Linked DNA regions of Caenorhabditis elegans. The protein of the gene in region 1 purifies or fractionates together with the protein of each later gene. This does not show direct contact. Each region holds a gene or a part of one and is shown in the gene's direction. Other genes may lie near its edges.

Evidence for each region.
Region 2: the proteins of F45G2.8 (region 1) and C34C12.8 fractionate together in Caenorhabditis elegans (co-fractionation; one large-scale study listed by BioGRID). This does not show direct contact.

What each region holds. Positions count from the first base shown.
Region 1 is NC_003281.10:13,434,210-13,450,576, reverse strand, and holds F45G2.8 (Mitochondrial import inner membrane translocase subunit tim-16), read left to right. Parts: upstream 1-14,906; 5' UTR 14,907-14,913; coding exon 14,914-15,004; intron 15,005-15,128; coding exon 15,129-15,232; intron 15,233-15,290; coding exon 15,291-15,413; intron 15,414-15,458; coding exon 15,459-15,551; 3' UTR 15,552-15,716; downstream 15,717-16,367. Other genes in the region: cua-1 (P-type Cu(+) transporter), read left to right, coding at 1-103, 665-903, 4,045-4,219, 5,051-5,534, 6,211-6,461, 6,814-6,999, 7,477-7,659, 8,060-8,267 and 3 more; ciao-2B (MIP18 family protein F45G2.10), read left to right, coding at 11,052-11,134, 11,906-12,062, 12,499-12,666, 13,366-13,440; F45G2.9 (rRNA methyltransferase 2, mitochondrial), read left to right, coding at 13,665-13,702, 13,757-13,973, 14,350-14,601, 14,653-14,790; F45G2.7 (COMM domain-containing protein), read left to right, coding at 16,079-16,181, 16,271-16,367.
Region 2 is NC_003281.10:3,449,950-3,466,799, forward strand, and holds C34C12.8 (GrpE protein homolog, mitochondrial), read left to right. Parts: upstream 1-10,456; 5' UTR 10,457-10,461; coding exon 10,462-10,511; intron 10,512-10,563; coding exon 10,564-10,667; intron 10,668-10,735; coding exon 10,736-10,977; intron 10,978-11,036; coding exon 11,037-11,252; intron 11,253-11,373; coding exon 11,374-11,475; 3' UTR 11,476-11,641; downstream 11,642-16,850. Other genes in the region: K01A11.3 (USP domain-containing protein), read right to left, coding at 1,881-2,147, 2,563-2,664; C34C12.12 (Transposase), read left to right, coding at 3,351-3,383, 3,606-3,724, 3,983-3,983; C34C12.1 (Autophagy-related protein 14), read left to right, coding at 4,396-4,605, 4,651-4,948, 4,991-5,901; C34C12.2 (Fibronectin type-III domain-containing protein), read left to right, coding at 6,651-6,665, 6,716-6,916, 6,963-7,121, 7,351-7,494, 8,047-9,060, 9,523-9,804, 9,872-10,096; pph-6 (Serine/threonine-protein phosphatase 6 catalytic subunit), read left to right, coding at 11,755-11,831, 12,353-12,442, 12,499-12,611, 14,078-14,180, 14,238-14,364, 15,083-15,214, 15,906-15,986, 16,176-16,305. UniProt on the Caenorhabditis elegans protein: Essential component of the PAM complex, a complex required for the translocation of transit peptide-containing proteins from the inner membrane into the mitochondrial matrix in an ATP-dependent manner.

The sequences.
Region 1 (16,367 bases):
TTCCGACGCGATTCGGGAACATATGACGGGAGAACTTGGATATAAGGCTACTCTTCTGGATTCTATGGGAGCTAATCCGAATTATAGCAAGATACGGTTGATTGTGAGTTTTGGATTTTGGTACCAAAAACATTTTTTTTTTGAATTCCCAAACATACTCAAATTGCCCAAAAATATATCATTTTTTGAGAAAGTTTAGCAAAAAAGTTCAAACCGCTGAACAATTTTTAAATTCCCGCGCAAATGGATGATTTAATTTCGACATTTTTTGAAATTCGTTCGAAAAATTGAAAAAAAATCAAAAAAAAATTTATTCTATGGCATAGTGGGCGGCAAACGATTTTTTCCTGCAAATCGGCAAAATGCAGGAATTGAAATTTTTAGGCAAATCGGCAAATCGGCAATTTGCATAGGCTTTGAAATTCTCTAGAATTTTTTTTCAAATATTGACTGGCAATATATGTTTTTTTTTTTCGAAAATTTTAGGAAATTCGGTAATTACCAAGCTTAAAATTCGAAAAGTTTAGTGAAGAAATGCGGTTTTTTCTAAAACCTAAAAAGCTCCCCAATTCTGTGTTATAAAATTTTCAGTAAAAATTTTCAGTCGGCAATTTCTGAGTTATCGAATTTTTAATCCGTATAAATTATATGAAAATGATTTCAGATCGGCAATCTCTCCACAGAAAGCGACGCGAATCGAATAGAATCCCATGTACTTTCAAAATCGGGAATTGACTCGTGTAATGTCTCAATTGCTACATCAATGGCTCTTGTCGAGTTCTCTCCACAGGTTATTGGTCCGAGGGATATTATAAATGTTGTCGAATCACTTGGTTTCACCGCAGATTTAGCTACTCGAGATGATCAAATGAAGCGGTTGGATCATTCGGACGATGTTAAAAAGTGAGAATTGGTGTTTTTTTAAAGGTGGAGTAGAGTCAAAAAATTTTTTTGCTTTAAATGACAGAAAATATACACAAATAACCGAATATAACTGTAAAAAATTTTTTTAAAAATTTCTAAATTTTTTATGATTTTTAAAATTTTTCAAAAATCAAAGAAACGGCTGAATAAATTTGAATTACCGCGCAAATGAGTGACGTCATTTTTGATATTTTCGCGTTTTCTGGCTAAATTCGTCGGTTTTTCTCAATTTTTTCTTCTATATTTGATTTGAAACATTGTTTGTCAATTATTTAAAATAGTTATTTTGAAAAAAAAATTAATAATAAATGTTAAATTGCGGATTTTAGGCCAATTTTGCCATTTCTGGCAATTTCCTTAGGGTTATCAAGTTTTTTTTTATGGAAAAGTGGTTGAATAATTGACAAACGGTGTTTCAAATCAAATATAGAAAAAAAAATTGAGAAAAACCGACGAATTTAGCCAGAAAACGCGAACATATAAAAAATGACGTCACTCATTTATTAAATTCAAGTTTATTCAGCCGTTTCTTTGATTTTTGAAAAATTAAAAAAAATCATAAAAAATTTAGAAATTAAAAAAAAATTTTTTTACAGTTATATTCGGTTCTTTGGGTGCATTTTCTGTCATTTGAAGCAAAAAATTTTTTTGCCTCTACTGCACCTTTAAATCGTGACTTAAAAAAATAATTAGGAAAAACCCACTGGTTTTGGAAAAATATTCAATTTGGCTAATCAAATTATTTTAATTACCACGCTTTCAGAACAGAAAATGAATCAAAAATGTATTATTCTCCAAATATCGGGTTTAAATATACTTTTTTAATAAATAATTTTCATAATTTTTGTCGAAATTAAGGAAAACCAGAGTGCGGCACAGAAAAAAGGGCGTAGCTTACTTAGAGAAATAATCGCGGTAATTAAAATTAAGAAATTAGAAAATCTGTCGAAGTCATATTTTCAATTTCAATATATATCATTACTTATCATTACTTATATATAAAAAAATAATTCCGTTTGTTCCATAGTTTGTAGTCTATGTAGTCTTTGTAGTCTGTGACGTCACACCCAAAGTCACTGAGAATTGTGGGCGGGGTCTGTCATCCTTCGTGGTGAGACCCATCGTGGCGAGACCCATCGTGGCGAGACCCATCGTGGTGAGACCCATCGTGGCGAGACCCATCGTGGCGAGACCCATCGTGGTGAGACCCATCGTGGTAAGACCCATCGTGGTGAGACCCATCGTGGCGAGACCCATCGTGGCGAGACCCATCGTGGTGAGACCCATCGTGGTGAGACCCACCGTGGTGAGACCCATCGTGGTGAGACCCATCGTGGTGAGACCCATCGTGGCGAGACCCACCGTGGTGAGACCCGTCGTGGTGAGCCCCACCGGGGTAACCCCCAAAATTTTGGCGGGAAATTTAAATTTTCGGAGAAAAAAATTCTGGCGGGAAATTGAAATTTTCTGAGAAAAAATTATTTTGGCGGGAAATTTAAATTTTGTGAGAAAAATATTTTGGCGGGAAATTGAAATTTTCTGAAAAAAATTATTTTGGCGGGAAATTTAAATTTTGTGAGAAAAATATTTTGGCGGGAAATTGAAATTTTCTGAGAAAAATATTTTGGCGGGAAATTTAAATTTTCTGTGAAAAATATTTTTGCGGGAAATTTAAATTTTCTGAAAATTCTAAAATTCTGGAAATCTAGAATCTTCTGGAAATTTCGAAAAAATTCTCGAATGTTCCAGAACTTTCTAGAAAAATTGGGAAAAGTCTGGAATGTTCTAGAACTTTCTAGAAAAATTGGGAAAAGTCTGGAATGTTCCAGAACTTTCTAGAAAAATTGGGAAATTTCTAGAATGTTCCAGAACTTTCTAGAAAAATTGGGAAAAGTCTGGAATGTTCCAGAACTTTCTAGAAAAATTGGGAAAAGTCTGGAATGTTCCAGAACTTTCTAGAAAAATTGGGAAATTTCTGGAATGTTCCAGAACTTTCTAGAAAAATTGGGAAATGTCTGGAATGTTCCAGAACTTTCTAGAAAAATCGAGAAAATTCTGGAATGTTCCTGAACTTTCTAGAAAAATCGCGAAATTTCTGGAATGTTCCAGAACTTTCTAGAAAAATCGGAAAAAGTCTGGAATGTTCCAGAACTTTCTAGAAAAATTGGGAAATTTCTGGAATGTTCCAGAACTTTCTAGAAAAATTGGGAAAAGTCTGGAATGTTCCAGAACTTTCTAGAAAAATCGGAAAAAGTCTGGAATGTTCCAGAACTTTCTAGAAAAATCGAGAAAATTCTGGAATGTTTCACAACTTTCTAGAAAAATTGGGAAAATTCTGGAATGTTCCAGAACTTTCTAGAAAAATCGGGAAATTTCTGGAATGTTCCAGAACTTTCTAGAAAAATCGAGAAAATTCTGGAATGTTTCACAACTTTCTAGAAAAATTGGGAAAATTCTGGAATGTTCCAGAACTTTCTAGAAAAATCGAGAAAATTCTGGAATGTTTCACAACTTTCTAGAAAAATTGGGAAAATTCTGGAATGTTCCAGAACTTTCTAGAAAAATCGGGAAAATTCTGGAATGTTCTAGAACTTTCTAGAAAAATCGAGAAAATTCTGGAATGTTCCGAAAAATTGAGCTTAGAGCTTTAGAAGAGGTAGTTATTTGGGAGTTGATGGGGGATTAAGTCAAGGTACTGTAGTGGTACTATAGGGGTACTGTAGGTATACGGTAGGGTTACTGTAGTTTTGGAAAAATTGGCATTTCGTCCTTTGAAGAGGTATTGAGTTAGGAGTCGGTGGAGGATAATGTCAAGGTACTGTAGTGGTATTGTAAGGTTACTGTCTTGGTCAGAAAGTAACAGAACGTTTTCATACTGTCTGTGAATTTTCGAAACATGCATGTCGTAGAAAAATACGTGTAACAGTGCCAGTAAACCGCGTTTAAGTGTGTCAAGTTTTTTTCATGATGAGAAATTTTTTGAGTGATTGAAGGTATGTGTGTCAAATACTTTTAATGGTGCCAGTCGTTGCCCGCGCCGTAGGCGCGGTCAGCGGCTGGTATATATTTTTTTTTTTCCGACTATTTTCAAGCAAAAATTCACAATAACGGTATTTTCAGATGGCGTAACACTTTCTTCATCGCATTAATATTCGGAGTCCCTGTAATGATAATTATGATAATCTTTCACTGGATTCTCCGAACGCCAATGCATCCAGACAAACAAACACCAATTTTCACTCCAGCTCTTTCACTTGACAACTTTCTGCTTTTATGTCTTTGCACACCGGTTCAGGTGAGAATTTTCAGTTTTACACCAATAAAAAGAAGTTTTTTTGGAGTAGCCAAAAAATATTTTTCAGTTACCAAAAAAATATGTTTTGAAAAATTCTGAAAATAACATTTTCCCATGAAAAACACGAAAAAAAGGAAAAAAATTCAATTATAATTTTAAGAAAAAAGAGCTTAAACTTAAAATTTTATGAATTTTCCAGTTATCGACAGGCTAATAAATTTATTTTCTTTTTTTGCTTTTTTTTCAAAAATTGAAAAAATAATTTTTTGGCCAAAAACACGAAAAAAATTTTTTTTTTTCAAAAAACCCAATAAAAACAAATTCGGGTATAATTTTAGGACTAAAATTTTGTTTTTTTGTTATAAAAATTTTTCTTCGAAAATTGCGAAAAAATAAATTTTCCTCCGAAAACACGGAAGTAAAAGCAAAAAAAAATCGACTATAATTTTTAGGAAAAAAAAATGGAAAATCGAAAAATCTGAATAAATTTCGTTCGTTTTTTTAAAATTTTTTCCGGGAAAATCGGAAAAAAATTTAGAAAATAAACCATAAAATTCGCTTTTTTATTTAATTTCGTGTATATTAATGGGAAAATAACATAAGGAAACATAAAAATGTTCTCTAAAAATAAGACTAATGATACAAATTTTAAGAGAATTTTATTTAGAATAGTCTATAAAAAAATTCGAAATATTGAAAAACTAAAAATCGGAGAAACACGAACTTTTTCGCTTTTCAAAAAATCTAAAAACCGACACCCCTGTTCTGGAGGTAAAATTTAAAATATTTTCTTCTTAGTTTTTTAAAAAATTGACAATAAGAAAATTGCAGATTTTTGGCGGTCGATATTTCTACGTAGCCTCATGGAAAGCAATAAAACATGGAAATGCAAATATGGATGTACTAATAATGCTGTCCACAACCATTGCCTACACCTATTCAATCGTAGTTCTTCTCCTCGCAATCATTTTCAAATGGCCGTCGTCTCCAATGACATTTTTCGATGTTCCACCAATGTTAATTGTATTTATTGCACTTGGAAGAATGCTGGAACATAAAGCAAAGGGGAAAACATCTGAAGCTTTATCGAAACTTATGTCATTACAAGCAAAAGAAGCTACACTTGTCACAATGGATTCGGAAGGACGGTTAACGTCTGAAAAAGGAATAAATATTGAATTAGTGCAAAGAAATGACCTGATTAAAGTGGTTCCTGGCGCTAAAGTTCCAGTCGACGGAGTTGTAGTTGATGGAAAAAGTTCGGTTGATGAGAGTTTTATAACTGGAGAATCGATGCCTGTCGTTAAGAAACCAGGTAATTCGGATTTTTGTTGCAAATTTTTTTTTCGGAATTTCCTGAAATTTTTCAAAAAACACAAAAAAAACGGTTACGGTCTGTTTTTCAAAAAAAATTTTTAAACGTTTTTTTGAAAGCTACAAACAAAAAGTTAGAAAAAATTTCCAAATTTTCGCGTTTTCCCTAGTTTTTCTTGAAGAAAAGCGAGAAATCAATGTTTCCATCAAAAAACGAAAAAAAAAAGAAACATTTTTCGTTTAAATTTCTGCAAAACCATAACAAAATCGAACATTTATCACCAAAAATTTAAAATTTTCAACTGTTTGAGAAAAAAATTATTCATTTGGAAAACGAGAAAAAAAATGTTTCTAGCCAATACACGAAAAAACAAAACATGTTTAGTTTGAAACGCTATTTAGAAGAACTTATAAATTTTTGATTATAATTATCAGTGTGATTTTTTTGGAAAAAATGCAAAATTTAAACATTCATGTCGAAATTTCTCGCGTTTTTTGCTCACTATTTTTTCGAAAAATCTACAGTCATGCTCACGACTGTATAAATATTTCGAAAATAAACTTTTTTCGTTATTTTTTAAATTCAAAAAAATTATTTTGTCATTAAAAAATCCAAAAAAAGAACATTTCTGTTCAAAACCGAATTGTAAGTTATTTTTCACAACAATAATTTCTAGGAAGTACTGTAATTGGTGGCTCGGTGAATCAAAAAGGAGTTCTAATTGTGAAGGCAACACACGTTGGCAATGATTCTACACTCTCACAAATCGTCCGTCTCGTCGAAGAAGCTCAAACGAATCGTGCTCCAATTCAACAACTTGCCGATAAAATTGCCGGATACTTTGTCCCGTTTGTCATTGTATTATCGTTGTTCACGTTGGGAGTATGGATCTATATTGAGTACAATTCGGCGAGAAATGCTAATTTGGTAAGGGAAAAATAGATTAAATACTATAAAGTTGGATTCAGAATGCTCGAAAACGTGAATTTATGATTATAAATTTAGCAGCAAAGAAAGAAATTCATGAGCAAATTTTCAGTTGGATCTTTAAAAATTGATTGTCGTGCTTTTGAAAATTTTCAAAAAGAGCTGTAAATAAGAAGATCGAGAATTTCGTTCCTCGCTGCTAAATTTCCCAAATTAAAGCCCGCCAAGATCTTGGCTTTTCCAAGATCAGCTTTAAAAAAAAAAATTTTTATTGCATATTGCAAATTCGATTTGAAAAATTAAAATTTAAAGCCAAAGCCCGAGTTTTAATCAAAATCATGTATTTTTCCAGCCACCCGGTCTTCGATTCGAAGAAGCCTTGAAAATCGCATTTGAAGCTGCGATTACTGTACTTGCAATTGCATGTCCTTGTAGTCTGGGTCTCGCAACGCCCACCGCTGTTATGGTTGGAACTGGAGTTGGAGCAGCAAATGGTATTTTGATTAAAGGAGGCGAACCATTGGAGAGTGTACATAAAGTGAGTTCGGATTTAGAAATTTGGATGTCACTGTCAAAATTTTAAACATTTTCTCATATTAACAACACTAAAAAACATATTTATTTCAAATTCAAATAGAAGAGACATAACCGAAATTTTGAAACATCGAAAAACAAAAATTTAGATGTTTTTACTTCCCAGAAAAAAAACCTTGTTTCTTAGAGTACCATTTTTTTATTTTCACTCGTAAATATCAGAAAATAATTTTTTTAAAATTTCACGAAGCCACTAAAGATATAATATATCCAAATTAGTGTGAAATCAGAAATTGCACGAAAAAACGAAAAAAAATCGAGAAATAAAGAAAGATCCATTTTTCAAACCGCGAATTTCGATATTTTTCAGGGAAAAATAAATAAAAAAGAAAAATCGAAACATTAACAAAATTATCTTTAATATGAACAAAAAAAGCAATATTTATCAAATCTCAAATTTTTTAATCACTCTTTTTTCCAGGTAACCACAATTGTTTTCGACAAAACTGGCACAATCACCGAAGGACGTCCACGAGTAGTTCAAATTGCGTCGTTTGTAAATCCATCTACAATGTCACTAAAACTTATCACATTCCTCTCCGGAGCCACTGAAGCTTTGTCGGAGCATCCGATTGGAAATGCGGTAGCGGCTTTTGCGAAACAGGTATTTTAAGAGTAAAGAGAGTAAAATATTTCGACCAAAAAAACGAAAAAAAATTGTTTCAAACTTGGATCAAAAAACAAAAAATCGGATTTCTCCAAAAAAAAACGGAAAAAAAAAGTTTTTTGATTTTTTCATCATACCAACCAAAAAAAACCAAAAAAAAAATCTATTCTTGCAAAAAAAAAATTATTAAAAAACCAGAAATTTATTTTGCCGAAAAAAAAAACAAAAAATCAAGAAACAAAAAAAAACCAAAAAAAAAAAAACAAAAAATCCATTTTTGCCAACAAAAAAACAAAAAAAATTCGATTTTCTCATCATACCAACCAAAAAAAAATACAAAAAAAAATCAATTTTTGCCAAAAAAACTGAAAAAAAACAAGAAAATCCATTTTTTCAGCTTCTCAATGAGCCAACTTGGCCGAACACTTCCCGATTCCATGTATCTGCTGGACATGGTGTTACCTGTAGAATTGACTCAATTCGGCAGTCGTTCTCGTCTTTGGCACTTTCTGGATCTACTTGTGAAATTCCAAGGCTTCCTGATGGTCAAACTATCACGATTCCTGGAACCGAAGTCAATTTACTTCAAGTTTCTAGTAAAGAAGGTAGTCTTTTTAATTTATAAATGAATATAAATTCATATAATTTCAAGTTAGCCAACCAAACCCGGACACTGCGAACATTGTGATTGGAACCGAAAGAATGATGGAAAGACACGGAATTCCCGTATCGGAAGTTGTGAAAATGACACTTTCAGAAGAACAGAGAAAAGGACACATTTCGGTTATTTGTGCAATTAACGGTAAGTTTTTGTTTCGTTGATTTTCAGAGAAAATCAAAAAAAATCGGAAAACGATAAAAAAAACAAGCAAATTTATTTAAAAATCAAGAAGTGACTGGAAATTATTGGAAAATTAAAATATTTCTCAAAAATAAAATTTCGCTAAAATTCCCAATATTAACACCTAATTTTAAAAATTTCAGTGTTCAGAACCAAAATTTTTCAGTTTTTGTTCGAAAGCTACGGTACCCGGTTCTCGACACGACAAATTTTCTTACTGTAGTTGCTAAAGTTTTTTCCCAAAATTTTGTGTATTCCTTTTTCACTTTTCGCTTCTTCAATAAATTACAGTTATCCTTAAAGGCGTACACTCTTTTGAATTTGAATGAATCATTCGTTTATTTTTGGAGGGAATTTTTACCTTGCCTTTAAAGATTTTTGCTGAATGTTCGCCGTTTTTAACAAAATTTGAAATTTGGACCAAAAAAAAACAAAACACTTTTTAATTGTATTTCTCCTTCCAAGTAAAATTTACAATTTTTGAAAAAAAAACTGTTTTCTTGGTCCAAAAACTCAAAAAAGTCATTTTTTCCAAAGAAAAACCAAAAAAAAACTAGTATATTTTTCTTGGTCTTGGATCTTGCTCTTGGATCTTGCTTTAAAAATTCTTTTACTCCACTGAAAAAATCCTTTTTTTTTAATGAAAAAAGTCAATTTCGTCTGTCAAAACAGCTGTAGTTATTGACAAATTAACTATTTCAGCGGAAGTGGTTGCTGTAATTTCAATTGCTGATCAAGTTAAAAAAGAAGCATCACTTGCAATCTATACTCTACGTGAAATGGGTCTTCGTGTCGTACTTCTCACAGGAGATAACTCGAAAACTGCAGAATCAACTGCGAAACAAGTCGGAATTGATGAAGTATTCGCAGAAGTTCTTCCAAATCAAAAGCAACAAAAGATTAAGCAATTGAAAGGATACAAAAACAAAGTTGCAATGGTTGGAGACGGTGTCAACGACTCGCCGGCTCTCGCAGAAGCCAATGTTGGTATCGCAATTGCTGCAGGAAGTGACGTGGCAATTGAGTCAGCTGGAATCGTACTTGTTAGAAATGATCTTGTGGATGTTGTTGGAGCAATTAAGCTATCGAAAATGACGACGAGAAGGATTCGATTGAACTTTTTGTTTGCAATCATTTATAATGCGATTGGAATTCCGATTGCTGCAGGTGAATTTTAAAAAAGTTATTTCGAACAAAAAAACCGATTTCAAATGGTAGAATAAAAAGTGTTAAAAATGTCGAAAAATTTTCAATTTTCCGAAAAACGAAAAAATTGAAAAAAAATGTCTAGAACATTTTTTTAATTTGAAATTTTAAATATCAATTTTTTTTGAAGAGAAAAACTTTAAAAATTATATTTTCTCTGAAAAAAGAAAATTGGTCAAAATTTGTAGCTATTTTTCGAAAACCCGGGTAATTTTTTTTCGAACAAAAAAAATCAAAATTTTTCGACTTTTCGAATACCCGGAAAACGAAAAATCGTCTAGAAAATTTTTAAACAATTCAAAATTTTATCAAATTCGGTTTATCTTGTTGAGAAGTACTTAAGAAAAAAAATTTCTGAAAAAAAAGAAAAATAGCTTAAGTTTGAAGCTATTTTTCGAGAAAAAAACGGAAATTTTCTACTTTTGTCTGGAAAATTTGAAAAATTCAAAATTTAATGAAATTTTCGTTGATTTTCGTTGAGAAAAAAAAAGAAGAAAATATTGTTTTTCTAGAAAACGCTATTTTTCCAATAACAAAAAACAATCCACTTTTAATAATTTTCCAAATTTCCAGGTGTATTCCGCCCATTTGGCTTCATGCTTCAACCATGGATGGCTGCAGCTGCAATGGCTCTTTCCAGTGTCTCCGTGGTTTCTTCTTCACTTTTACTCAAAAACTTCCGAAAACCAACGATTGCAAATCTCTATACGACGAGCTTCAAACGACATCAGAAGTTCCTCGAATCGGGCTCTTTCCAAGTTCAAGTGCATCGAGGCCTAGACGATTCGGCTGTTTTTCGAGGTGCTGCTTCTTCAAAATTATCAATATTAAGCTCAAAAGTTGGCTCACTGCTCGGCTCAACAACAAGTATCGTGAGCTCTGGGAGCTCGAAAAAGCAACGACTTTTGGATAATGTTGGATCAGATTTAGAGGATCTCATTGTGTAGTTTTTTTGATTTTTTATCCAATTTTTTGTACATTTTGCGTGCTTCGTTTCGTCATCTCACTCTCATCACACACATACCGACCAAATTCCATTTTTTACGCGGTTTTATTGTTTTAATTTGTGATTTTTTGCCTTATTTTCTTGTATTTTCCAAATTTTGAATCGAATTTAATAAACATTTTTTAAAAATTTAACTATAAATTTTTGATTTTAAATCTCAAAGTATTTTTCAAATTTTTATATCTCTGGAAATTATTGCAACAAAAAATTATTCAAATTTAAATTTTCGCCAAAAACTACATATGTATTGTTTTTTCTTCCACGGCCACTAGGCCACCGATATTTTTTCGTCATTTTCCATTTCCAGCTTAATTTCCAGGCTTATATCACATAAAAATGGGCCAAGAACGTCTCGACAATGCAAATCCAACACTTTTCGACTCAAAACCACGTCATCGACCTGTTACTGGCACTGAAAGGTTGGTTTTTGGAGGGTTTTAACGCAAAAATCAAGTTTTAATCGTTAAAAGTTTACTTTGAATTCAAAAAGAGCATATTTTCACGGTTAAGTTTTTATATAAATAAAGTACAGAATTTTTAAAAAATTCCGCAAAAAAACAGCGAATTAATAAATTGAAAATTCGAATTTTCAGCCATTTTTCGTATTTTTTCAAATGAAAATTTATAGTTTGAAACGTAATTACTTCGATTATTAAATTGAAAACACAGAAAAATCAAGAAAAACGCTTTTTACCTGTTATTTAAACGAAAAACATAATAAATTTAACAAAAACACGATAAAATACGAAAAATCGCATGAAATCCAAACATTTAAATAAAAAATTCCAGTAAAATGGAAGAGGAGATGAATTTTTGACACTTTGAAGCTCCAGAACATCTGTGTCAAAAGTGTCGGTTTTTAGATTTTCGAAAAAATAAAATCGAAAAACGAAAATTTTCCGTTTTTTGATTTTTAGATTTTTCGATTTTCCAATATTTCGAATTTTTTTTCGATTTTTCTAAAATTAGCTAAAAATTCTGATAATTGTTCTTCTGTTTAGAAGACGTTTTTATTTAAACAAAATTAAATTTAAAAAAAAAAAGAATTTTCTGCTGAGTTTTTTTTAAGTTTTTGATTTTCCTTGAAAAAATAGAAAACATCGAAAAATGAATTTTTTGTGTTGTTTCGCTTGTAAAAATTGGCTCTCAATTCCACTACATTATTTTTAATTCAAAAAATATGATTCCAGAGATGAAAGCGTCGAAGATCCAATCGATTCGTGGGAGATTTTCGATCTGATCAGAGATATCAACGATCCAGAGCATCCATATACTCTCGAGCAGTTAAATGTGGTTCAAGAGGAGCTTATCAAAGTGTTTATCGACGAAGAAGAGACCTTTGTGAAGGTAACTTTAATTTTAAAATAACTTTAAAATTTTTTACAATTTTTTACAAAACATTTCCAAGAAGCTTCCAATCTTTGAACAGAAATTCTACAGCATTGATTGGAAAAAAGTGAAAAAAATGCGCTTGAAAAAATATTAAAAATTGGTCTCAGCAATGCAGGGCTCTCCTGATATATTTAATCAAAATATACTGATTTAATTGATAAAAAAAGTTGATTTATCTTGCTTTTATTTAAATTGGAACAATTGATTTTTCCAAATATCAGACAATTCTTGAGCGTTTCCCAATTGTTCCAACTGAAATAAACTTTTTTCAGGTAAAACAAATATTTTTTTTCTACCTTCTATCACTAAATTTTAATGAAAAATATTGCGAGAAAATTATTGATTGGTAATTTAAAATTAATTTTTTTTTAAATTTGAAAAAAAATTTCAGGTGAATTTCACACCAACCATTCCACACTGCAGTATGGCAACACTAATCGGTTTGGCGATTCGAGTGAAACTTTTGAGATCTTTGCATCCGAAAGTTAAAGTTAGCGTTTCAATCACTCCAGGATCACATTCTACGGAAGAATCAATTAACAGGCAGTTGGCCGACAAGGTAAGTTTTTAATTTTTGATGAAAATAGTAAAATCTATATAATTTAAAAACCATTTATTTTTGCAAAAAAATCGAAAAAAAACTCTAAAATTGACTTTTCTGCTGAAAAACGCCTGTAAAATTGGCAAAAAACTGTTTCGAACTATAGTAATATGTAAAATGAGGAAAAATCAATAGTAAATAACGACTTTAAAAATTTTTAAAAACTATGTAATTAGCTTTTTTTTTTGCTAGAAAATGTCTAAAAAATTTGAAAAAAAAGTTTAAATCATAATTTGCCAAAAAACGTAATTTCAAAACTCGGGCATTAATTTGCGCAAAAATTTAAAAAAATCACTAAAACTTTAAAATTCGCCAAAATTCGATAATTCAACATTTCTTCTTAATATTTTATGCTGAAAACCGTCTGAAAACATTAATTTGAATTTTTTGATTGCAAAATGGCAAAAAAATCATTTTAAAAATTATTTAATTTTTTTAATGGTTTATTTGGAGATTTCGGTCTATTTTTATACTTTGCATTTTTTATTTTCGAAATTTTTTGAAATTAAATTTTAAAGTATAGAAAATAAGACCGAAGTTTCCGAATAAACCAATAAAAAAATTCAAAAAAAATTTAAAACATTGTATTTTTTAGTTTAGAAGCAAGCCCCTCAAAAAGTTAATTTTTAAAACATAAATTCAAAATGTCTCATTTAGGAACGAGTAGCTGCTGCAATGGAAAATCAAGGACTAATGCACGCTGTTAACGAATGCCTCAGAGTTCCAGAATAACCAAAAAAAGATCCAGATTAAAGTTTTTGTGATATTAAAAGTTGCCTATCTATCAGGTTTCGAATAAAAACGTGTTTAAAATTATTTAGTTTTTTTGTCGAAATTTTCATTTTCATAGGTTAGATTTAAAAATCACCAGAAAAGTATCTAGATTCAGGGAATTTATTTTTTTGTTGAAAAATTAGTGATTAAGAATTCGAAAAAAAATGTTCAAAAGTGTCAGGATGTTCTCAACGAAAAAATCACAAGGAAATTTGCACAAGTGAGTTTTCTTCCCCCATCAAATATAAATTTATTTTTCAAATTTAAATTTCAGATATATTCAACGGCAATCAACAGACGAATTTGCGGTTAAAGCTCGTGAGCACAATTACCGAGCACGGAGCGCCTTCAAATTAATCGAAATTAATGAGAAATTCAAATTTCTGAAACCGGAGAGTACTGTAATCGATATTGGATGTGCACCTGGCTCATGGCTTCAAGTAGTTGTGCAGAAGTGTCCAAATGGATATGCATCGGGTGTAGATTTACAAGTAAGTTATTAAAATTAGTTTTAGAAAAAAAAACGTTGTGCCCCCAAAAGTTGGGTCTCGTTAGGTATTTGACTGCAAAATCGGAAATAAAAAAAGTTTTTTCTTGTTTTTTGCCGATTTCGCTAGTTTTCAAGAATTTTAAGTAGTTTGTTTAAAAGTGAATAATTTTTTTTTCATTTGTCACCCATTTTGGCTTACAATTATTAAAATAAAAGAACAAATACACGACGGAAAATGCTTGAAAAGTAATTTAAAATTTTTGAATTTCCGGTTTCGCCGCCAAATACCTAACGAGACCCACGTTCCGGGGGCGGAGCTTTTTCATCTTGCATTGGAGCGCGATTGCATTTCAATTTCAAAATGCAAATTATTACAGAATGTTCTCCCAATCCGCGGTGCCGACATCTTATCACTCTCCGATATTACCGATCCAGCAGTGAAACTGAAAATTCGAGAAAAACTAGCACATCGGCAAGTGGATGTTGTTCTAAGTGATATGGCACCAAATCCGACTGGAGATAACGCTACGGATCACTTGAGGCTTATCGAGCTGTGCCGATCCGTTTTTCGATTATTTTCAGTGGAAAATGAAATTGAATTAGTGAAGAATGGAGTTTACTTGTGCAAGGTTCGCTGAAATTAATAATAATTCTTCTTGACTATAATTTTTTTTTTCCAGATTTGGGATGGAAGTGCACGTGCCGAGTTCGTCCGTGAACTTTCCGATCGATTCTCAACTGTCAAAACGGTCAAACCTACAGCATGTCGTGACAATAGTGCAGAGCTCTATTTATTTTGTAGAAATTTCAAAAAATAAATGTGATTTTTTGTTTGCAAATCTATTATTCTTGTGAATTTTTATTGGATTTCGCGGAATTCCATATATATTTGTTTTTAAATTTCTTCTATTATAGTTGAATAATTATTTTTTAGTTCGAAAATGCCGTGGAGAACTGCACTGAAAGTGGCTCTTGCCGCTGGAGAAGCAGTCGCAAAAGCGCTCACAAGAGCCGTAAGAGATGAGATCAAACGTGAGTTTTTTGCAGATAAACCAATCGAAAATTGTCGAAAATTATCGAAAGTTGTCGAAAGTTGTCCAAAATTGTCGCAAGTTGTCGAAAATTATTCAAAAAATATAAATTAACATTTTTTCAGAAACCCAACAAGCTGCTGCTCGTCACGCCGCCTCCACTGGACAATCTGCAAGTGAAACAAGAGAAAATGCGAATTCTAATGCAAAATTGGGTATCTCATTAGAGGTAAGTTGTAGAAAACTCAAAGCTCTTCAAATTAATGATTAAAAATAAAAATTTCCAGGAATCCTTGCAAATTCTGAACGTGAAAACTCCATTGAATCGAGAAGAAGTCGAAAAACACTACGAACACTTGTTCAATATCAACGATAAATCGAAAGGAGGAACTTTGTATTTGCAGAGCAAAGTGAGAAAGTCTATTGAATTATAATTTAACCTGTATTCATTCCAGGTATTCCGTGCAAAAGAGCGGATAGACGAAGAGTTTGGACGAATTGAACTGAAAGAAGAAAAGAAAAAAGAGGAAAATGCCAAAACTGAGTAGAAACATTCTTATTACTTTTCTTGTTCACCGGTAAAACTTTCTGAAAAATCAGACCTTTTCTCAATTTTTGTTCATAGTAGAATTTTTCGTTTTCGTTTCTAGGATTCCTTGTTGTAGAGTTTTTTCTGTTTTTCCCGTGTTTTCTTTTAATAAATATCGATGTTTGATATGCGTTTATTTTTATTAATTTGGTCAATAATCTTTCCAATATTATATTTTGAAAATTTGGTCTTTTCGAAAATCGAGGTGTAAAAGCTTTCCACCGCTAAATGAGAACGCATGGATTTAAAAAAATTTAAATAATTATTTCGACATAAAAAATCATTTAAAAATAACTGAAAACATAACAAAAACTAAGAAAAATGTCTTAAAACGTTAGATATTATGATTCTGCCGCTTTTTTTTTTACCTAACGAGACCCAATTTTTGGTGGTGGAGCGTTTTCATGTGCCGTTGGAGCGGGATTGCATTTCAATTTCAAAATTTATTTTTTGCATCCTTTATCCTTATCCAAATCTCAGAGATAAATGGCTCCAACATTGGCAGAAGCCGAAAAGTTCCTGAGAAATTCGAAGATTGACAAAATTGTGCTGGAGAAACTGGCGGAGATCTTGGTCACAACGATGGATGGTAAGAAAAATCAGAAAATTTAACGTTGAATTTGATTGCTTCTAAATTATTTGTTTATTTTCATTTTTTGTAATTAATAATTATTACAGATTGGAACCTAATTGCCGATCAGAAAGTGGCCGAATCAGTTTGGGTGGTCTTGACGGAAGCTGGCAGAAGTGGCAATCTCAGCGAAAATCTTGGAGA
Region 2 (16,850 bases), about 10 Mb from region 1:
GTGAAGAAGACATTGATGAAACTGCGATTTTTCTCATAATTAATTGCACCTAAAATATAAATTTAGTTTTGAAAAACGTAAATTTCAGTATACTGCAATTTCGCTTCTCCTCGATTCGTGATCACAATCACGACTGACTTTCACATGGCCTGTCTCAGTCTTGATACGCACGGATCCGGGGCACTTTCTCGAGTTTTCCAGTGTAACGTTACATCTGAAATAAATTAATGAAATGTGTGACAATTTTTTCCTAGCGATAATTCACCTAGCCACAATGTCCCCATTTTTCAGTTTTTCTCTCGGACGATAGCTTTGATTGTTGAAAATGACCAATGGAGCTCCTCGTTTCGTCGAAATACTGAAATTGCATAGTTTCTATGTTTAATTGTTTTAGAAGTTAGAAGGCATACCAAAAATCTGAACTATTCTCGCTGATATATTCCGGTGCCATTTCAAGCACCCCTCTTGGGCTATTGGCAATCGGTCTATAGTGCATCAGAGAACGTAATACGTGTGACTTGCTGGAATTTTATATTTTGATAGAGTTATTGATTAATAACAACCTATTTGTCAAAAACCAATCCGGATGGTATGGAGTCTCTTCGTCTTCAAACGGAGATTGATATGAATTGTGACCTAAAATACAACGTCTGTTATTTCTATTTAATTATTAGTTAAGACCTACACAGAAGATTGAATTCACTGGTTTCCTGTAGATCGTGATCCATTTCTTCGGGAAATACAGCTGGATCAAAATCAAAAAATTTTTCAGTATTTGCCATGGAATCTGTTGTATCCGAGCTTGTTTCCTGAGTAGAATTGGCTATTGAATCGCATTCCGGGATATCGTCAGTGGATCTCGGCTCATCGAGCTCTCGAGAATTTGAAGGAAACTGCATATACGAATCAGACCGACGTGGTGATGCAGGTGGAGTAACCAGATCGATTGTTGCAGGAGTCGATTCACATACATTTGTAGCAGACGCTTTCGGATTTCTTTTCTTCTTTAGATCCCTGTCGAACGCTGAAAAATACTTTTCACTCTTCAATTAATCTTTAGACATCAATACTTGCCTCTAAAAAAGCGTTTGGCTCCGCTTGGATCACTCTCAGCATCAAGTTCTTCTTTTTCCGGGAAGGAAACGCTCATTTTCGATTAATATTAATTTTGATCGATTCGAAATCGATTGAAACCCGTTTTTGTCATCGAAAATTCTGAAAATATCCGTATTTAGCTCGAATAAAACTAATTAATTTCCATTAAAAATCCGTTTTTAATTGAATTCCGTTAGAAATTTCCTGTTGGAAAAATAAATAAATAAATACGAAGAAGCGTGCGGCGCATTGCGAAGGACTGTGCGGCGGGCTTGCGAAAAGGCGCGCCGCACATTGCCCTACTGAAAGCGTTCCTTACGAAAAAATCCCCTTACGAAAACGTACCCCCTCGTTCTGGCCTTCCTCATTGACTTTTCGCGCTCCATTGACAATCGCCTGCCGGACAACGCGTGGACAAGTGTCGTGTACTCCACGCGGACAAATACATCAGTTTTACAACTAAAAACGAGCCGCGACGCGACACGCAGCGCACCGTAAATCTACACAAAATCTCTCCCACCCAAAATGGCCTAGTTCGGCAAACTCTGCCATTTCGATTTATGAGGGAAGCCAGAATTCCGTGAATAACCGAAAATTCGAAAACGACACCCTTGTTCACCAAGTTCGACGCCAGAATATCAACTTTTAGCGCGGTTTCCTTTTTATCCTCTACTTATGGACAATTCACTGATTTTTTCTGAGATATTTGCGCGTCGAATATAGCGAATGCACCGGCACATTCGGGTAGTTATAAATATAATAAATTATTAGTATCTATTACTCACCTCCATGAGAGCATTGAAGGCTTTGAACGGTCGTTGTGCACCCGTCTTGAGCGTCTTATCAGAGAGCAGGCTGCGGAGCACTGTAGCGTCCTTCGTCTCTTTTTTCCCGTCAAAAATCCATTTGAGCTGCTTGTGCATTGGAGTCTCACATGTCCTTTTGAAGTGACGGCCACATCCAGCTTTCTGCATCATCTGGATAGCGACGTTGAGGAAGCATGAATTACCAGGGTTTTGGAGCTTCAATCCAGGAAGCTTATCGAGGATCTCCTGTAAGTGTTTGGGATGTACGTGTTCATTTTCTTTGGTATTTTTTTAAAGGTTATACCCAAAAACTACCGAATTTTGTGAAAAGTTATGATCGTTTAAAATTTTGAGAAAAAGTTATTTTCAGCTAAAATCACTATCTTTACTGAATTTCAAAAAGTGAGGCATACAGTACCGCAAAAAAGGCTCCGCCTTTAATTATTCAGGCTGCTCTCCTTTTTCTATAAAAATCACGTCAAAAATTGGAGAAATTACACAAAACGCCTGAAATTTTGTACTCTCGAAACACTTTTTAAAGAAAAAACTAAAACTACGAATTCCCACTAAAAGTTGATTCAAAAATTTGATTCCCGCGAAAACTTTCTTAAATAAAGTTATGTTAAACAGAGAAGTTACTTTTCCAAATGAAAATACTTACCTGTTCACGCTCTTTTACCCTCTCAAGCTCCTCCTCCATCTTGGTCCATCTCTCCTTTTCCACCAAGTGCTTCTCCTTCTTCTTCCGAATCTCCTCCATCATCTTTCGGGACTGCACCTCCTTCTTCCAAATCTCATCATTTTTCTCCCAAAGCTTGTCCTCCTCCTTCCAAATCTCCTCATTTTTCTTCGGAGACTTGTCCTCCTCCTTCCGAGACTCCTTCTTCCTCTTCCGAAACCCCTCATCCTCCTTCCGAGTCTCCACTTTCTTCTTCCAAAGCTCATCATCCTCCTTCCGAAGATCCTCCTCCTCCTTCTGAATCTCCTCTCCCAACTTCTTTACTATGAGTCTCGCCTCTTCCGCTTTCTCCACGAACTTCCTTACTTTGTCTACTTGATAAACGGAAGTGATCCGTCGTGCCTTGACTTGTGGGACTGGGGCCTTCGCAACAGGATTCTCCTTGTTCACGTGTAGTCAAGCTGTCTCATCGGTGTTTTTCGGTGTATTGGCCGCAAACACGCGAATTGACGCGCAAAGGCAGACAAGCGGGCAGGATTTACGAGAGATTGTGATTTTATTTTATTTTCTTCCATTCATTTAAAATATAGCTTTTTGCCATTTTTAAAGTTAATTTTTTGTTGAAAAATAAATAATAAATTTTTTATCTTGCCGTCAACTTAATTTTCAGAAAAATATTTAAAAAAATCGGGCGGAGGTGCAACGAAAAGGGTCTTGCCGGATCGATGAAATGGATTGGAGTGAAATAAACTGAAACGCTGTGGTCGCTGATGAAAGTTTCAAGAAATCACGAAAAATGGATCGTAAATTTTGGAGAAGGAAAGGAAATTTACTGCTGATGAGCTCGCGGTTTCCTTTTCTTCTCTGGTAAAATTGCAAAAAAGTCTAATTTAAATTCAAAGAGTGCAGTCCAGTATTGCGAGCGAAACCGCGCTCGCTTTTATTTTGAATAAACAATAAAATAAATTTGTTAATGCGATTGATATTAGAAAATTATTTCTCAAGTGTAAATTTGTTATTTTCAGACAGATGACGAATTCGCAGCGGACGAGGAAGCGATGTCGAATATGATTCTTAACTTGCAATTGCTCGGTTTGTTGGGATCGCTTCCAAGAGGAATCGGAAAGATGTATCGAACAAGCTGGTGAGATTTGGGGGAAAAAGGAGAACATACTGCTGATGAGCTCGCGGTTCTCATTTTCCCCCAAACTTGAAAAATAATATTAAAAATTATTAAAGCAGTCCAGAATATAGCGAGCGAAACTGCGCCCGCTATTTTCTAATTTGAAAAAAGCCTGAAAATTAATTTAAATGTTTGAAACTTATAGAAAAAATTTGAAATAAAGTATTTTTTATTGACAGAAAAATATTAATCAATATTTTATTTACAATACATTTATAGATTATTCGTTTCTTCGTCGTTACTGTTGGAGCGGTTGGGGAGGTTGGAGCCATTGTTGTTGCTGTTGGAGCTGCTCGGAGGGTCGACGAATCTGGAAGAATAAAATGCCCTACGGGGTTTAATTTTCGAAATTGGTCTACAATAACTAAAAAATGACCTGAAAAAAAATAGTAAATGATTCGAAGGTACCGGTCCTGTCGCGAGCCGTCCATCCCGACCATCCTCGTCATTGATGCATCCCGACCATCCTCGCCATCGATCTATGCCGACCATCCTCGTCATCCTGAAAAGTTAAATTGTTTATACTATAATAAATGTTATTAAATATTGTTGTGCTTTAAAAAGGGTAGGACACCTCCAAGGAATCTATGCAAAAATTTTCTGGGCAAAGTGACATTTTTTAACAGGAAGCCATGTCTACGCCGCTTAGGATGACGACGCCGCTTGGTGTATCTTTATCATCCGACCTGAAACGTGCCTTGCAAGACAATGAAAAGCTGACAAGGGACGTGAGCGATGCAAAACTTTTGAAAGAAGATGCTGAAATAAAACTGAAAAAAATTAGGAATAAGCTTAATGGAGAGCACTCTGAAAAGTTGGGAAAGTTGAATGATAAGTACAAGGTATATAATAGAGATAAGAAATTGCTGGAATAGATAATATTTTAGGCTGTACAAGAAGAACTGAAAACGATGAAACAGAGTTCGCAGTTGAAACGGGAGAAAGGAGTTTTGGAAACTGAAAACCGTCGTTTGGAAACTGCAAAAAGTGAATTAGATCGGCAACTTTTAGGAAAAAATGATGAATTACGAATGGCAGATGTGGAAAAAGTGGAAGATGTTAAGATGATTCGGGACCTGAAAGCAGGGAAACGGCCACCTTTCAAAACTGAATTCAAAAATCTCATCAGCAGGAGCGAGAAGTTTAGGAGAATAGAGATAGCGAGAGCTGAACTTCAGCGATGTGGTGAGAAATACCTATAAATACAGTTATTTAAAGTGATTTTAGGCGGCGAAGCTTCTGAATTTTACTGCCTTCTTCTTGGAAGATTGAGTAAGTTGGGTCTTCTGAAATGGAAGATGTCAAAGAGGGAAGGATTATATCTCTATCACGCCAGCAACCTCACGAGAAGACGATTCACCAAGTTGAAACAAATGCTGCGAGGAAGTGGATGTATCGATCCATTGCCATCTATTCATGAGATCAAAAAGCTGGAGAAAGTTGTTGGCTCCTCGGATCAATTAAAGGTCACCGAGCATACCGTTGACGGTAAATCCGTGGTCGCCGTTCATCTGCTCGACGTCGTCAAAATGTTAACTGAAAGGATTAATGAATTAGTTGCTAATGGAAAGATGGTAGTTGGAGACGATCCTATTTGGCTTACGATCCTCGGCGATAAAGGATCAGAAGAATTCAAGTTATGTTTGTCAATTGGAAATGTCTCCCAACCTAACAGCTGTTTCCATCTAATTCCACTTGGCATTTTCAATGATGACGAAAGCAGTGAAAACATTCGAAAGTATCTAGGTCCCATCGTTGAACAACTCAATCGATTATTGTTCCTAAAGATAAAAGTAGGCGATAAGGACATTGATGTACCTGTGGAGCAGTATCTTGGGGGAGATATGAAGTTCCAATGCGATGCTATTGGTCATGAGGGAGGAAACAGTACCTATCAGTGCATGCAGTGCTTTTCGCTACGAGGACAGTCGATCAGCAGGTCCATGCAACTAAAAAGGGGTGACATCAAGAAAACCAGGATCTCGAAGGCAGTAGTCAATGATAGAGCTGAAAAACTGGAGGAGCTGGAAGAATTTCTTTCAGGAACAAAATGTGCTCTTCAGATAGTTCAAAACTTCAAGAATCGCCAAGTCAACGGGTACAAGTCACCATCCGAGCCGTGTAGAGCAGCGATGTGATTTTTCAAGGACAAGACTATGAAACTGGCAACTTCATACAATGGGCGCAAAGTGGACTGTCAGACTTGTTCCAAGTCTGTACACGGTGTATGCTGTGGGCTGTGGGATCCTGAAAGTTGGAAGCTTACCACTGAAGATTCTCCTGACGTGGATTGCTTCGAGTGTCGATCCATGACGGTGAATCGCATCGAGAAGGAAGCTGAATCCACCATTGCACATCTGGAAAATGAGAAGAATAAATTGATGGAAGATTTGAGGTTGGAGTATTTATATTTTCTTTAAAGAAAGCATTTAAATTTACAGATTAGCTCAAGCACGTGGTGTCAGTGTGTCCCATGTTTGATCTGCCTAGATCTACAAAAAATGCGGTAGTTTAGACTTTCTCTGATTTTTTTTAAAATGAAAACTGACAATTTTCACAATTTCTGTTCTACAATTTTCAAAAAACCCAGTTTGAAAACATTTTTTCAATTTTTACGAATTGTCGTCAATTAAAATGTGTTGTTTTTTTTTTCACTGACTACAGTACCCAGTATGTGAATTACCGTCACGGTGTCTGCAGACTTTTTGCGCGATGCAAGCGCGCTCCACCGCACGTGTGTAAAACAAAAACAATCGGCTGCTGAAAACGGTTTTGAGTCGTTTTTTCGCTAAATTTCCATTCGATTTTCTATTTTTCTGCTGAGATCTGCATTTTCCCAAGTAAAAACAATTTATTTTAGTTGAGAAATCACCAAAAACGTGCAAAGATGACGAAAAAAAAGGTATATTCTTGAATTACTCTAGTTTATATTTTAAAAATTTTCAAATTCAGGTGTACAACAAAAGGAAACGAAAGGAAGCATCAATTAGAGTGTTGGAAGCGATTCGGGAAAAGAGGAAGCAGCAATTGGCTGAAAATGCCCGTCTTGAAGCTGAACAAGCGGAGCAAGATGTGGCTCCAGAGCCAATTGATGTGCAGGATCCTGTGATAAATGCTGGAAATATTGTGGAAGATGCGGAGCCTCTGAACGTGGTAATTTAATTTATATTTTTTTAATCCTAAAATCTCCATTTTTCAGAATCCTTCTCCGCCGCAGCCTAGAAAATTCAATTTTCGGGTAGCGAACTTGGAAATTGCCCGCCAGGCGAAAATTTCACAGAATCTCATGAAAACTTCTGAAACTGCATCTACTTCATCTCCTGTCAGACAGCAAGTGAAAACAGAAATTGTTCCAAGGGTTGGTTCTCGGGGTTATTTTTTGGTATTAATTACTTTTTAAAAATGTAGAAAAATGCCTGAAAACAGCGGGAATTCAAATATATTCAGCTCATTTTCAAAATTATTTTGCAAAATTAAAAAAATCTTATTTTTCTATTAATTAAATAAAAATTTTAATTCAATTCAATTTAAATTAAAGGTTAAAAAAAAATTGAATAACACATTTTTTTCAATAATTTTATTTCCAGGTATCTCAAAGAACAATTGTTAAAACACAAGCCCTTCCACGTGTCAATGCTCCAGTCCTATCATCAGTTCCTGCAAAAAATCCGCTTCCTCCAAAATTTGTTTATATAAATACAGCTGGATTGAAAAGAAAACGAGACGATGATGTGGGTGGAATTTTGGAACAATTACAGCAAAAAATGAGAAATTTTTTGGAATTTTTCTATTTTTGAGCTGAAAAAATTACAAATTTTCTAAAGGAATTTCCAGATTTTTTGCCATTTGTTGTTCTAAATTTTTAAAGATAATTTTGTTATTCAAGAAAATCCCGAAAATTATGAAAAAATTTTTAAACTTGTGAAAAATTATTAAAAACCGAAAAAAAGTTCTCAACAAATTCCGAAAAAGCAAACAAAAAATTGCGAAAAATTCTTAAAAACCGAGAATTTCAATTCCGGCAATTTGCCGATTTGCCAGAAATGTTCAATTCCGGCAAATTACCGATTTGCCGGGAATTACAATTCCTGATAATCTGACGATTTGCCCGAAATTTGCCGGTAAATTCTATCCCGGCAATTTGCCAATTTGCCGGAAATTTTAAACTCCGGCAATTTGCTGATTTGCCTGAAATTTTCAATTCCGGCAATTCGCCGATAATTCAAAATCATGAAAAAACTAAATTTTCCATAATTTTTTTTCAATTTTTCTCTAAATTTCAGAAAAACACGCCATCAACATCGAATTCAATCACTCTAAATCCATCTTCTCGTGGTGATCAAACCCAATTTATTGTACATCTACAACGAACAATTGAACGATTGGAAAAAGAAAAAGCTGCGTTAACGGAGAAATTGACAATGCGAGAGGATGAGATTAAAGTGTTTTCAGTGGAATTTGTGAATATTCAAAAAGAAAATGTTAAACTAATGAAGGAGAACAAAGCTAAAGAATCACAAATTTCAAACCAATCGATTCAAGTTCGAAATTCGTGGAAATTCGCAGATTTATTCAAGAAAGAGCTGCAGAAAAGTCGGAAAGACGTGTCGGAAGTGAAATGGAAAATTGATAAAATCGAAAAAAAAGTCGGCATCAAAAAGCCTACACCAAGGAAGAAGCCTGATGTAAAGCTGATAAATCCAGAGGATATTTCATTGATGTCTGACAGAACCCAGGATGGGGAAGATTCAAGTGACTTCGGAAGTCCTCTAGCGAAATATCTGAAGCCTGATCAGCCCAGCACAAGTTCTGCGTGCTATGGGAAGCCGTTCTATTTTGAAAGCACCAGCAGCAGCTCCAGAAAGCCCATCACAGCATCTCCAGGCCCTCCAGGCCGAACACAAATTTCGGATCAGCTGAACACTGGAGAAGTTAGATATGTGGTGAATTCAGGAAAACCATTCAATTTTAGCTCGGAAAGTAACTCCAGGAACTTGAAGCTTATTCCAGGATATATTAAGAGACCAGAATTTCGCTATATCAAGCCAGAAGGCTTCACCTCAGCCTCTTACAAAGCTCAGTCAGAAGGAATGAGCTCGTTTTTGAAGACTGGAAGCTCTGCAACTCCTGAAAATTCGAAGAAATCAGCCCATTTTGACATGCCGGATATTTCCTCAACGCCTTACAAATCTCACGTGGTGGTGGAATCGGACGAAATGAATAGTTCTTCGAGTACAATTGGAGGATTTGAGTCAGAAAAGAAAGATAATGGAGCTCTCGGAAGCCAGAAATCTCCTGTTAGTTATAACGAAAAAAATTGCTAAAAAATTTACTTAAAATTCCGCGAAATTTTGCCAATCTGTCAGTATCGATTTTTTCAATTTTTCAGGAAAAAAAAGTCAAATTTTAAGGTTTTTTCAATAAAAAACTTTTGAAAATGAAAAAATCCGCCAAGACGATTTGTTCGATGGGGCGCGCTTGCATTATTTTTTGTTTTTGTTTTTTTGTCCTAATTATTTCACTGAATTCCTTCATGTTTTGTGTATTTTTACTGAAAATTTGAAAAGCTAATGAACAATTTGCATTTATCTTGACTTTTCATTCAAATTTTCAGTGAAAATTCACAAAAAATGAAGAAGTTCAGAGAATTGATGAGAAAAAAAAAACAAAAATTAAAATAATGCAAGCGCGCTCTATTGAACAAAGTCTCTTGGCGGTAATTTGAATATGAAACTGGCAAAAATGGAAAATTATTGCAGATGCCCGACATTGCCACAGCACTTCACAATATATTTGATTCAAAAGAAGTTCAAAGTAGTTCTTCAACCACCGGAAGCTCTGCACCGCCCGAAAATTCGAAGAAATCAGATCATTTTGACATGCCGGATATCTCCTCAACTCTTTACAGATCTCGTGTTGAGCCAATCAGCAGCTCTTCCAGTGGATCTACCAGCACAAGTGCTCCGAGATATGTGCCAAAACCAATAGCCCAGCCAGCTCGATATGCAATTCCAAGTCCGGGTGCTTTGAATGCCTTAAGAGTGAGTGACAGCCGGAATCGCTCAGTTTACTGGAGCGCACTTGCAATAATACATACTTTTTTTTCAGCGTCCCCCAGAATGGAAAGGTCAGCGCCGACATGCGCCGAGTTACGTGAAATCCAGAGAAAGCGTCACGTTCAGAGGATGCTCCAGATTTCCAGTCACATCACCGCATTTCGCGAAAGCTCACCTGGAACCTGTGACTGATGGAAAAGATGATTCGAAAATTGTCAAATATCGATTTGTACCGAAGCGACCAGATTTTGATGGAGAACGCGAACATAAGAAGTGACAAATCTTGGTTTTTTTGTGTTTAAGGCTTTTAGAGCATTGATAATAAATTTTTTGTTGGATTTGCTGTGTTTTTTTGCGGAAATACACAGATTTTTGCAGAAAAAGTTAAGAAAAAACTGCTACAGTTTGCCCTTTTCCACTTTAAATTGCCGCTTAAAAACTCCTCGAAAAGAGTGTGCAAAGCATGGAGACGCAGACACGCACGAAAATCACGCCAGCACGTTACTGGCGCACTTGAGTCATGTGCTGGCGCATTTCTTGTCATGATGAAATTTATTAATTTTTTCTTCGTTTTTTACCAATTTCCGCCGATTTTTCGTTTTTTATTCCTAATTTCTTCAAATTTTGGCAATTTCAGACAATATGCTGCGCAAAGGAGTGTCTTTCGTCGGCCAGGCTGTTCAACAAACGCTGTAAGTTCCTTGAATTTTGAATAACGGTGAAAATCAAATTTTTTCATTGCAGGAAAACTCAGAAAAACTTGCGCATTCAAAGATTCAGCGCCACGGCATCACAATCATCGGAAGAAGTCAATTATGAGATTAGAAAAGACGGAAAGAGACTCAGAGGTAGCGATTTTTACTCTAAAACAAATTCTAAATTCTAAAAACTGATATAATATTTAAAAAAAAACCAGGAGCCGACTATGAAGAAATTGTTCTTACTTCGATTGCCGGCGAGGACAAGACACAGATTCCAAAGGGTGCTTTTGATGTTCTTCTCAAGGAATACGACGATTTGCAGGCCGAAAGCTTGGATTTTAAGGATAAATATCAAAGATCGCTTGCTGAAACTGAAAATGTTCGTCGGCGAGGTATCAAGCAAACCGACGATGCTAAGGTTTTTGCAATCCAATCATTCTGCAAAGATTTACTTGAGGTTCGATTTTTAAAATCAAAATCAACCGAAAAACAATTAAAATAATTCCAAATTTGCAGGTCTCCGATATTCTCGACATTGCCGTCAAGTCTGTGAAGCCAGAAGATCTGGAATCGGGAGGAAAAGCTCTGAAAGATCTTTTCGAAGGAGTTTCAATGACCCGTACTGTCATGGCAAAGACATTCGCAAAGCATGGCCTTGTGACCGTGGATCCAACCAATGAAAAGTTCGACCCCAATCTCCACGAAGCCGTTTTCCAGATTCCATCTGCTAATGTTAGTGCTAACCGCCCGAATTTTCCGAAATAAAAGAGCCAAATCTTGTATTTTTTGAACAATTTGGGCTTATTTAATCCTTTTTAAATGCCACAAAATGCTTAATTTCCTCCATTTTCAGGCCAAACAACCTGTCGGACATATCGAAGTGTGTACAAAGATCGGCTACAGCCTGAAAGAACGTCCAATTCGGCCTGCTCAAGTTGGAGTCGTCTCTAAATAATTTTCTTTTAATTTTCCTCTGGTTTTTTAATGTTTTTCCGGTTTTTTGTAGTTTTTTTTTGAATAGCTAGTAATTTTTATTGTTTTTCTGTTTTTTCCGTTATTTCATCACACTCCAATCACTTTTTCCCGCCGTTTTATAGGATTCGAATGAACAATTTTTGAGTTTCAATTCCCTTTTTTCCACTTTTTCGATAGGTTTTCAGCCATTTTTCATATATTTTTTAATTTTAAACAGGAAAAAAGCTTCTTTTTCATTTAAAACCGTAAAATTTTCAGAATGATCGACACAAACCTTCTTCGGGTGACAGTGTGCGATGAAGGAGAGCTCGAAAAGAGCACAACGCATTTTATTGGGTACCAAATTTTGGATATTTCAAGCGAAAAATGCGATTTTCCAAGCACAAATCGCTTTGTGTCGATTTACGCAGCTCGTGTACTCCTCGAGGAGAAGATTTTTATAGTTTTTGGAGAAAATGCTCAATTTTTGACCAATTTAACATTAAAATTGTCATTTTAATTATTTTAAATGAAAATCGACTACAAATCATCGTTTCCAGCAGTTTTCCATATTAAAAATGCTGAATTTCAGCATAAAAATTACCAAAAAAGCGAAAAATCGGCGATTTGAACGTTAAACTTTTAAAAAACAGCGAAAATGTAAAATCTAGCATTTTAGTCGAAAACTAGTATTTTTCTCCTCGGGGAGTACACGAGCTGCGTAAATCTACATTAGGCGATTTGAGCTTGGAAATTGATTTTTTTTACTCAAAATTGAAAAATTCTGCGAAAAATTTCGAATTTTTTTGCAAATTTCTAAAAAAAAACTTAAATTTCAGCTCCAAAATTATACAAAACTTAATTTTTTTCATTTCCAGATCTCGAAAAATAGAGCCGGAGCAATGGATTACGTGGGCGAGCGAATGCAAATACTTGCCCGAATCTGACGCTGTTGCTCTTTGTGCAACGTAAGAAAAAAGCAATTTTCAGCAATTTTCGGCTCAAAAACTGAACATTTTTTCAGATTAATCGATCGTCTATCACTGGAAGCCAATGTGGTGCCCGTTTCGTCGCCTGTCACAATTTGTGGAGATATTCATGGACAATTTTATGATTTACTCGAATTATTCAAAACTGGTACGGAATCGGATTCGAATTGGAAATGTCACAAAATTGGATGAAAAATTCAAAAAATCAGCCGAAAAATCGAGAAACTTTCCGGGAAAATCGGAAAATTAGCCAAAAAAAAATCGAGAAATTGGATAAAAAAATTCGTAAATTGAATGAAAAATTCAAAAGTTGAATGAAAAATTCGAAAATTTGCCGGAAAATCGAAAAAATCGATAATGTGTCGATTTACGCAGCTCGTGTACTCCTCGAGGAGGAGAATTTCACTGTTTTCGGGCCATTTTTCGCTTTTTTAACATTAAAATTGCCTTTTTCAGATGGAAAAGTATTTTACTACTGCTAAAAACGAAGAATTTTCATATTTTCAACAATAGAAACCTAGATTTTCGCCTAGAAATGGCGATTTAAGTGTTTTTTACAACAAGATCGCGAAAAAATAATTAAAAATCAAGCATTTTAGCCGGAAAATTGTGATACACTTCTCCTCGTGGAGAACACAGCTGCGTAAATCGACACAGGGCCGTGGAAGAGGCCATACGGTTTTTTTTCTGTTTTCAAACATGAAAAAAACTCGAAAAATTCATTTTTACAGCTAATTTTCGATTTTTCGACGGAAGAAGAAGTTTTGGCGACGTTTTATGTGAAAAATTCAAATATTTTGGCAATTTTGAGTGTTTTTTGTGGAAAAAGGGTGCAAAATTTGAAAATTTATAATTTTTTCAAGTTTTTCTGAAAAAAAAACAATCGTTTAAATTTATTAATTTGAAAAATCGTCGAAAATCAATAATTTCAGCAAAAAAACTCTAAAATTCTTCTCCTCGGGGAGTACACGGGCTGCGTAAATCGACACGAAACGATTTTTCATCTAAATTTAGAATATTTCACCGAAAAATCGGTATAAATCTAGAAAAAATCACTTTTTTTCATGCGAAAATCCTTTAAAAAACAGTTTTTATACGATTTTCTTGAAAAAAAAGTCAAAAAATCGATATTTTTAATCCAGAAAGCTTAAAATTTCGAAAAAAAAACTTTTTTTCGTAAATTTTTTAAATAAAAAATGGCGAAAATATATTCAGCAAAAAAAACTCTAAAATTCTTCTCCTCGGGGAGTACACGGGCTGCGTAAATCGACATAACGATTTTTCATTTAAATTTTGATTTTTTCGACTGAAAAATCGTTAAAAATCTTGAAAACCCCACTTTTCAGGCGAAAATCCTTAAAGAAACAGTTTTTATACGAATTTCTGAAAAAAAAAAGTTTGAAAAAATCGTTTTTTTTTTATCCAAAAAGCTTGAAATTTCGATTAAAAAAACCTTTTTTCGTGAATTTTTTCAGTAAGAAATGACAAAAATATATTCGGCAAAAAGCTCTGAAATTCTTCTCCTCGGGGAGTACAAAGCGATTTTTCATCTAAATTTTGATTTTTTGAATGACAAAAAAAAATCGTGACGTGACCCATTTTTTCTCATTACAGGCGGCACAGTTCCCAACACAAAATACGTATTCATGGGAGATTATGTGGATCGAGGACATTACAGTCTGGAAACTGTTACACTGCTTTTTTGTCTTCTTCTCAAGTATTTTTTGATTCTTTTTCCTACCAAAATTTCTGTAAAAAACTCCAAAATTTGCAGATATCCGAATCAAATCACACTGCTCCGCGGAAATCATGAATCTCGTCGAATTTCCAATGTTTATGGATTCTACGATGAATGTCAGAATAAATATGGACACGGAAATGTGCACAAATGGTTCTGTAAAGTAAGGAAGCGATGGAAATTGAATGGAAATTGGAAATTCGTCGTGCAGAAAAAGCGATAAAAATCGTTAAAAATTCAACGTTTTGGCGAAATTATACGCGAAAATTCATGAAAAAATGATTTTTGTGCGATTTTCTGATAATTTTAAAAATTTAACTGAAAAATTGGCTGAAAAATTCAAAATTCGTTTCAAAATGGCTCCAAAAGTAAAGCTAAAAATAAGTCGAATTTTTATAAAATTAAAAATTTCATATAAACTTTCCGGAAAATTGTTTTTCTGTAATTTTCTTTTTTAAAAAACTTCAAAAAAACATGAAATCCATCAAAATTAGTTTTTGTGCAATTTTTGGACTCAAAAATGCTCGATTTTTTTCTGGTTTTTTTAAAGAAAACCTTCAATCTGCAGAATGGAAAATTTCCAAAAAATATTATTAAAAATGCTCCGTGAGCTCCCAAAGTTCTTCTCGAAAATCGCTTCAAATTATTTTTTTAAACGAGAGGTGATTTTGTAGAATAAAAATGACGAAAATAACTTTTTACTGTCAATTTTTGCGGAAAAAATCCGAGTTTTTACGGGATAATTGGCTCTTAAAGTGCTCAAGCACTAGATTACGTGTCGAAAAATACAATTTTTAGCCGATAATTGTATCGAAAAGGTATTTTTTCACCATTTTCATCAAATTTTCAGTTTAAAAAACTAAAAATTAATTTTTTTTCAGGTATTCGACGTTCTTCCAATTGGAGCTTTAATTGATGAATCAGTACTGTGTGTACATGGAGGACTTTCACCTGATATTCGAACAATTGATAGTCTTATGTTACTTGATAGAGCTCAAGAAGTTCCTAATAAGGTTGGAAATTTTAATTTATCGTGAAAAATTAATCGAAAAATAAATAATTTACCGGAATTAATCGAAAACTAAATGTTTTTATTTGGAAAACATTGAAAATTTAGAGATAAAAAATATAAATTTATTCAAAAGTTTCATTTTTCTTGGAAGAAAATCCGAAAATTGAGAAAAAATATACGAGAAACTATAAATTTATCAAAAATATGCAGATTAAAATGAGAAAATCGAGAATTCGGGAATTTTTGGAGAATTTTACTCTAAAATACGAAAAAAAAAATTGTTTTTTTAATACGAAAGTCTTGTTTTAAAAAATTGAATAAAAAACCGAGAAAATTTGAAAAACCGAAATTATCAAATAATGATTTTGATGAGAAAAATCTTAAAATATATTCAAAAAGATGAACAATTTCGATTTTGAAAAATCCAAAAAAAGATTATTAAAATTCTTTGGATTTTCTCATAAAAAATTAAAAAATTAACTTTTCGATTGCAAAAAAAATTTTTTTTTTCCGAAAAATGAAAAATTCTCGTTTTTTTTTCTTCAAAAAATTGCGAAAAAAATACGAAAAATTAGAAAATTTACTCAAAATATATGAAAATGACTGGAAATTTTCAAAAATTATTTTTTTTTACTAAAAAAAAATGGAGAAACTCAAATTTTCAATTAAATAAATTATTTCCAAATTTGCAGGGTCCTCTATGTGACATAATGTGGTCGGATCCGGATGATGACGTCGAAGATTGGGTGATTAGTCAAAGAGGAGCTGGATTTGTAAGAAAACTGACTGATCTGCCGAATTTGGGCAAAAAAAACAAAAAAATTTGGATTTTTTCTTTTTCCAACTGAAACTTGATAGTTTTTTTTGTTTTTTGGTCCGAAAAAACCTTTATTTTTTTTGCCAAAAATACGACAGCCCTGTCAATTTTGGAATTTCCACTTTAAAATTAATTTTTTTTGCAGGTGTTCGGAGCAAAAGTGACAGAAGAATTCCTAATGAATAATGATCTTTCACTACTTTGCCGGTCCCATCAACTCGTTGACGAAGGATTTAAGTATATGTTTAATGAGAAACTCGCTACCGTTTGGTCGGGTAAGAATTTCTTTTATTTTGCTGAAAAATTAGAAAAAAAATTCCAAAAAAAAGATTATGGGTCGATTTTTGAAAAAAAAAACGGAAATTTTCCGATAATTTCCCGTTTTCGAACTTTTTTTGAAAAATTCTAATTTATCAAAATTCATTCAAAAAACTCAAAAAAAAAATCGAAAAACAAAATTTTCTCGGTTTTAAGAATTTCTCCTTTTTTCCGAAAAAAAGTTTTAATGTTTTTTCATTAAAAACTGAAAAAAAACTGAAAAACTTAAAAACTTGGAAACTGAAATTTTTTTAATCGCACAAGCTGGAAATTTTCTTGAAAACTGAAAAATACCTCAAATAAACTGAAAAAAGAGAAGAAAAAACTATTTTTCAACTGAAAAAAACTGAAATTGCTAAAAAAATTATTAAAAAACTAAAAGAAACTGATTTTAAAAAAACTGTAAAAAAAAGGATTAAAGGAAACGATAAAAATTTAAAAACAGAAAAAAGAAAATAAAACACTTTTAACTGAAAAAACTGAAATTGCTTTAAAAGTTATT